Linked DNA regions of Danio rerio. The protein of the gene in region 1 purifies or fractionates together with the protein of each later gene. This does not show direct contact. Links are inferred from orthologs where the notes say so. Each region holds a gene or a part of one and is shown on either strand. Other genes may lie near its edges.

What was found. The genes of interacting proteins can lie anywhere in the genome.
Region 2: the proteins of rims1a (region 1) and erc2 purify together in Homo sapiens (affinity purification with western blotting; 3 studies listed by BioGRID and IntAct, with this or other methods). This does not show direct contact. The link is inferred for Danio rerio from reciprocal best matches to the Homo sapiens genes RIMS1 and ERC2.

Annotation. Positions count from the first base shown.
Region 1 is NC_133188.1:30,910,912-30,914,411, forward strand, and holds part of rims1a (regulating synaptic membrane exocytosis protein 1), read right to left. Parts: exon of another isoform or gene 2,849-3,500; intron 2,441-2,848; coding exon 2,139-2,440; intron 1,745-2,138; coding exon 930-1,744; intron 1-929. UniProt on the Homo sapiens protein: Rab effector involved in exocytosis. May act as scaffold protein that regulates neurotransmitter release at the active zone.
Region 2 is NC_133186.1:39,767,269-39,771,503, reverse strand, and holds the start of erc2 (ERC protein 2), read left to right. Parts: upstream 1-1,435; 5' UTR 1,436-1,489; intron 1,490-4,235. UniProt on the Homo sapiens protein: Thought to be involved in the organization of the cytomatrix at the nerve terminals active zone (CAZ) which regulates neurotransmitter release. Seems to act together with BSN. May recruit liprin-alpha proteins to the CAZ.

The DNA.
Region 1 (3,500 bases):
TTGTTATTATTATTATTATTATTATTATTATTATTATTATAGTTCACATTTTTATGATTAATTTTCCGAAATAAAGACCTCTGAGGCAATCCGGCGCATAATTAAAACATGTGATCTATACATAAAAGCATTTGAAAATTTGAAAACAAATGATGGAAGCATTAGAAAACATTTTTCAAGACAATGACAATGAAATTACATCTGGTAGATTAAACAAAAAATCCACCTGGAGATGAAAGAGCCCACACATTTGACAAAATTTGCAACAGTTTTAAAGACAACCTGACAAAGTACAGGTGCTACCTCAAACTGTTCTTTTTCTATTCTTTATTAAATGAAAATAAACGTCCTACCTGTTGTTTGGATGAGATTGTTGAACCTGATGTTGTTCCACTGATAAGAATGAGCTTGTGTTCTGCTCAATCTTCTGTTCTCCTATTTTTAGTCTCTCATTCCTTCTCATATAGTCTGTCTTTCCTTTTCAACCAACAATGTTTACATTTCACCCGTGTCTTGTGTTAATATGTTGACCTTTTAAGTCTGTGTTCAGTCAGTTTGCCAGACTAACAGCACACTACCATATGAATAACATCCTCTCCTTTAAACCACAAGCTTCAACCAGTCAAAACCAGACAAACATTATTCAGTGCAAAACCGTTTCCTATACACTGTTTATTATTTATTAGTAAAAATCACTGTATTAGTTAAGGACGATATTACATAATAATTTAACTTAGATAAATAATAATAATAATAATAATAATAATAACAATAATAATAGCAAATAAACTTCAACAGATGTAAAAACCATACTGGACAGTGCTGATTTTTTCTTGTAAAATCTTGTGAAAATCTTTTTATTTATATAAACACCTGATTAATTTTTCTTTTTTTAATAATACAAAAAACCAACTGTCCAACTGACCCACCTCTCTCACTGACACTCTCGATCTCCACATCTTCACAGCTGGTGTACTCTGGTGTGGAACCGGCCTCTTCCTCTGAGCTGCTGACGGACATCTGCCTTTTGTTGCCACCCCGTTTGCTCTTATAGGGGCGGGGTGGGGGTGGTCGCAAAGACTCTGATTGGTCAGAGCTGAGCGAATCATTGCGCAGCATGCTCTCTGCTTTTTGCCGTTTTGATTTGCGCAAAAGTGCAGCCGAGCCGGGGTCCAGGTGGCTCGGCTGCAACTTCCTGTCCCATTCCTGAGGCTCCCTAAGCTCAGGTGGACCTGTGGGCATAGCAGGGCCCAGTTTGAACCCCGGTGCAGGAGGCTGAGGGGTGTGGTTGGTTTTAGGTGTTGGACCCTGCATGGCAGGCATACCCTGCAAACCTGTTTCCCCCGCGGTCCTCTCTGGCACATAGGTTGGCTGTGGGCCCTCCAATGAGGCCTGTCGCCCATCTGCCCATCTACGTGCACCTCTGTTGTCTTGCACCATGTCCCCCCCTTCCCTTGATTTAGGGTGCAAGCGTCCATCAGGCTCCGTTGGCCGGAGTTTCCCCGGGTGATGTGGAGCGTTTGGGTCAGTCCTGCACTGTTCCCTGGGTGGTTTCTGCTCCCCCTCTGTCCTCCTTGTCTCAGGACTGTCATGCTCCTGAGAGCGAGTTTTCATCAGTTTTCGACTTTCTCTACGATTTTCTCCGGTGTCCCGCTCTTCGGAATGGATTTTGGAAAGCCTTTGCCGCCTCTCACCTCTTGGCCCTGGCTTTCCATTTTGATCAGAGGCTGCTGGTGGCTTTTTTCTAAAGGGTAAATAAAAACACAACATCACAAAGATATTCAGACAGTCTTATATAAGGATCTTTAAGCCTGCTACTGGGTAGACAACATCCTGAAGAGTTTAGCCCCAAGTTGGCCCATTAAAGTTTAAGCTATAAACTAGACTCTAAATCCTTGAGACCAACTGGCTACTAACTATGCAAATTACACACCAGCTTCAGCAGTGTATGACCCCAGATATACCAACTAAATAACAGGTTGGCTAGGCCATGCTGGTGTTGGAAGGAAGTTGGTCTCCCAACCTAACCAGCTAAAACATGCTCACATTTCCTTTAAAATTGGCTAACAGACATGTTAAAACACATTAAGAGTTTAAAAAAGACCAGCAATATTTTACTGAGAGAAGCTGAAGTGTACCTATCTTGTGGAGGCTCACTGCGTGAGCGCGATGATGGTGTATCAGCTGGGCCTGCAGAAGGACATTTTCTAGGGTCGGTTGGGGCAGATGTCTGGGTAATATGGGCAGTGGAAATGGAGGAGTCGAGAGGGTTCTGAGACCTAGAGCGCATCTTCTTGTCCCCAGAGGGGTCTCCACACATGGCTGGTTCACTCACTGCCGACCCCAGCTCTCCAGGCTTGGGCACTTGACTGGGAAACCAATCTCCTGATTTTGTGAGCATATCCTGTTGCCTTCGGCATTGGTTACATACCCACATTACCTGGGATTGAAGAAATATAATATTTAAAATTTAAATGTAAGGTTTGACTTGATCTTGTAAAGATGAAGTGTGTTATTTCATTAATAAAACTGCAAATATTATTATGAACCAAAATAATGACTCAGATTTTAGACAGTTCTGTGCCAACTGCACAATAAGGCTCCGAAGTCAGAGCAGTGGGCAAATGATTACTTGCAGTTTATTGTAGTCTTAAATTGGACATAAGAAAGTTTTTTTTGCATTACACACTTCACCTGTTTGCAACATATAAACCTAACAACATGTCAACAACATGTAAACCTATGGCACAACACAACAACATGTAAACCTATGGCACATTTATGCTTCTGAGCCAGTGATTAAATGATTAGTTTACTCTGTTCACGTGGTTCACTCAGAAATTTTTTTGCACTTTACATGATCCTAGCTAAAGAATTTGAGTCTTACCTAGTGAAACAATAGATTATTTCCCCCAAAAAAATAAACAAAAAAACTTTTAAACCACAAAATGTTGTCTGGCATTAACTCTAGATTGTGTGGTTAAAAATTTGTATTATTATATTTATTAAGAAAATAATTGTTTCCCTAAGTAAGATCCTTGTTCTTCTGCTGGAATCATTTATATCCATTTGAAGCTGCATTAAAACTGCAAATTAGAAGTTTAAACCACTGTGTACCATATATGGCAAGTGCACAATATGGAGGAAAATCCTGCACCATTTCAGCAAGAACCTTAATTTCTTTTCAATTGAAATGAACATCTTGGATGACAAAGGCTCAAGTAAAATATCAGGAAATGTTCCATTAAGTGAATTAATAACATTAAGAAAAATAGTGCACTTATCTTAAACCTTAAATAAATTGTATTACTTTACAAACATTTTAAAGAATTAAACGCATGGATGTGTAATCTAAAAGACATCTACGCTGACAGAAAGTCAACAAAGCTACAGATGAAAAGCCTGTGTGTGTGTGTCAGTTAAGCCTTTCTTCATCATGTGAAGACCAAAAATAAAAGCTGAGGCATTAAAAAAAGAGCTAAACTGGCAGAGACACCGAA
Region 2 (4,235 bases), on another chromosome or scaffold:
AAGATCGATGAAAACCTGTAACCATTGACTTCCGTGGTATTTGGTTTTCCTACAATGCAAGTCAGTGGTTTTGAGCTTTCTTCAAAATATCTTCTTTTGTGTTCAACTGAAGAAAAAAAACTTGGTTTGGAACCACTTGAGCATGAATAAATGGTGAGTACATTTTCATTTCTGGGTTAACTATCCCTTTGATGTTCAGGCAGGAATGCATTTTAGTCATAATCTTATAATAATGTACCCTTGTCTTTTTTTAATGGTGAAAGTGGAGAGCGGTTTAAAGACAGACCTCCATCCGTCTCTGTCCACCCTGAAGCATCATGTCTGGAGAAGGAGCTGGAGGAAAAAGTCTGACAGTCAGCCAATCACAAAGCACCAGAGGCATCAAAGCCAATTACAGCAGGGGTCACATGATCACACTTGGCTGCATATGATTGGCATGGCTGCAGACAGCGAAGAGCTCATCACTCAACTTCATGCAAACTTCTCAGAGATGACCTTCACAGAATATATAATGAGAACAGGAGGTTCTTACCAAATGAGCTTTTCATCATTTAATGGCTAAACAAGTTAATTAATTCAATATAATTCATTAAGCATATGTACTCTAAATCTACAAAAACCTGTTACCATGCCAGTGCTACCACTTGGCATTTGTACAACTACGAATATGGTGTATATTACATGAGTAAATTGATTATGTGTTTGTATGTAAAATGAATATTTATGTACTTTTGTACTTATGTATGTATATCTCAACAAAATGGAAGGTATTTTTTATTCATATGCAATGTTATATAATATTTTATCATATTATTTATGATACATATGATGACACATGCACAAACAGGCTATGTAATTATATATATATATATATATATATATATATATATATATATATATATATATATATATATATATATATATATATATATATATATATATATATATATATAACCAGAATACTTTAGATGGGCCTAAGTTATATACAAATACATACATACATACAAACATTGATTAAGTTAAAGTTATAATATAGATTAACCTTGATTAACTATTCTTTTAATTATGTCTTTACAGGCTACATGGACTTTAAATTGAGCTTATCAACTGAGACTACCTAGCCTATACATGACAACGCCTCAGGTGGGAGACGCGGCTAGTATTAGTCATAATATCGATAAACCTTGATTTAACTCTTCTTTTTAACTCTGTCTTTCAGGCCACATTGACTTAAAATTGAGCTTATCAACCGACACAACATACATATACATACATGACAACGCCTCATGTGGTCGACGCGGCTAGTTTGTCCCTCTTGTGCGCTGGCCCTTTAAATCTGAAGTGCATTTATGGTGTCGGGGGCGGAGCTAGTGTACGTGTGTCCAATCAGAGCGCGGGATGCTGATACTGGAGTGAATGCAGGACGTGGGACTCTGATGCTGATGCTGGGGGACCCGCACAGTGATGGAGCGGCGACGACGCTGAAAAGGTAACGAAACGTGATTTAACGACACCCATAGGCTTTCATTCACCCCACTAAGACAGGGTTTATAGTAAGGAATCGAAATGAGGCCCGATTCATCGATTCGAGCTAATTATATTATTTCTGAATGACGGAAAATGGGCTTAAATCCGCTGTAGTATGAACGAGATGAAGCGTCGCTCGATGCTGTTTCAGATGCATTTGCTTTAGGATTAACAGTCAGTTTTGCTTCAATGTTTTTGTTCGTTTTAGTGTTAATGTGTCTTCGTAAACGCTTGATATTGCTTTATGGATATTTATTTGTGCGGTCTAATTGTCTAAACGTGAACAATTCGATGTGAACGTTAGATTGACGTTTATTTAGCTGTATATTTATTTGGATACACCTATAATTTTGTGATGTGGATTTTGGTGCATTCCATTTTGAAATGCACGTAGCATTTGGTGGTTTTCTCAGCGATTTCTTCTCATTTAGGAAAAAACATGGGCATGTATGACCTGTCAGCCTCTAGGAGTGATTTTTTGGGGGATGATTGACAGTGGTAAAAGCCAATCAGAAAACAGCTGTTATGCGCACAGCCAGTGGCTTCTGGATGAGGGAGGGATTTCACATGCGGGTTCTGTCTGGTCTTTAAAATATCAAATAATTTATTGGTTTTCGGACATTGTCTCTGGGAAATAATAAAAAATTAAGGGACATTATTTTTCTCACAGTGTGACCTACAGGCATCTGTTAACAGTGGTTGTGTAGTTTGAACTGTCACTCTTTAAAATCCATTCAACTGATATTATCAGTAGGCCTATTACTAAGATTATCTGAGATGAGAACTATTCTTAAATAGAGATTTACAATGTATTATTTTAGATATAAAGATATTACCCTTAAGATATTATCTAACTCTAAGTATCAATAATTTGTCTCGTACAATGCATTCTGAATTATTATATGATTTCTAATGTACTTTTAAAGTATTACAGTGGCTATCAGTACATTCTGAGGAAAAATCTTGTCAGTTTATGTAGCTTGGTTAAATAATATAGTTATTTAATATAATATTAGAATATATAGCTTTCTGATATATGATCATAAGGTTCCAAAAAGCAGTCCCATAATACTGGAACCATAACGAGCTTCTGGTATCCTCAGATGCCAGATCTGTATCCTTTTTATTGTAAATTTAGCAGGATATTTATTCACGTAAAAATACTGGAAATTGTATATGAATTTTGCATGTTATATATAATAATATATATTTCTATGCACTGAAATATGCAGAAATCTTCAGATATTGCTATTAATTTCATAAAAACTTAAAGATAGAAGTCAAACACTGAAATATTTGTCCATTTTAAGCCGACTGACTGAATTTTTTAAGCATAGCTTGACATATAATCTGTGCTTGATTTATTTCATTGATTTGATATTATTAGTATTATTAACTGAGAAGAGAAATATACTAAAATAAAGGTTTACAGTGTTTCACTTTTTATTTTACAATAAACAAGGTATAACCAGAAGTGTCAATAATTTGCCTCATACAATGAACTCTGAATTATCGTATGATTTCTGTTTTACTTTTATAGTATTATGGTGGTTGTCAGCACATTTTGTGGTAAAATTTTGGCAGTTCATGTAGCTTATTTTTTATATTAATATACAACTTTCTGTTATATGATTATAAGGTACCAAAAAGCACTCCCCATAATACTGACAATATAGCGAGCTTCTGGTATCCTCAGCTGCCTTTTTATTGTAAAATGAGCAGGATATTTAATCACATATTTTAATGCTTGGAAATTGTATATGAATTTTGCATAGGAATTTGTGAATATGCTTTCTTATGCACTGATATATGCAGAAATCATCAGAAATTGCTATTGATTTCACAAAAACGTAAAGATAAAAGCCAATACATTGGATTATTTGTCAAATTGAAGCAGACTGAATGCTTTTTTAAAGCATAGTCATATAATTTGTGCTTGATTTATTTTATTGATTTATTTATTTTAGCACAGCAAATTTACCTAAATAAAACCTTATTGTAAGATAAGGATTTAATTTTATTTGTGTAAAGGGGTGATATTTGGTTATAGTTTTTTAATGTAAAATTTGTACATTTATAAAAGAATCTTTTTGTTTTATTTCATTTTATTTTTGTTTTATTTTAGATTATTTTATTTTTAATATTTTTTTAATTTGATTAAATTTTTATTTTTTACATTTTTATTTAATTTTATTTATTCCAATGAAGTATGCTGAAAAGTGGCATAAATTGATTTTAGATGATGGACTAGTGACTAAAATATTTCCCCAGGGTAATGATGAGGTCTGTAAAAATGTGAGTACTCATAGAAATGATTGACTTCAATTTTATAAATGTTTTGGATTTAAACTGTCTTGGCTAAACTGCATTCAATGCAACAGATGTATGGCTTGGCCAGATTCTCTCTGAGCATGTCGTGTTATTGAAGTCTGGGTAATTTGCCCTTTGTGCCTCTGTGAACACACTGTTGTCAGCGTCAGAGTGGGTGGCAGCGAGAGTCAGTGGCTCGTGATATTCATCCCGCCACCTTGATTAAGCCATTTATGCTGGAGAGCAGCTGCCTTCTATATATTACTGACCAAAAAAGCGCTTTCTGCCATTTAGTTCTCATTTAACTCTGCTGACATTTCCAGCTCAGTCTCTTTGAGTTACGTTCATGGAGACCTAAAAGCTTCATACGCTTGCTGCTGGCATAGATTAGATTTTAT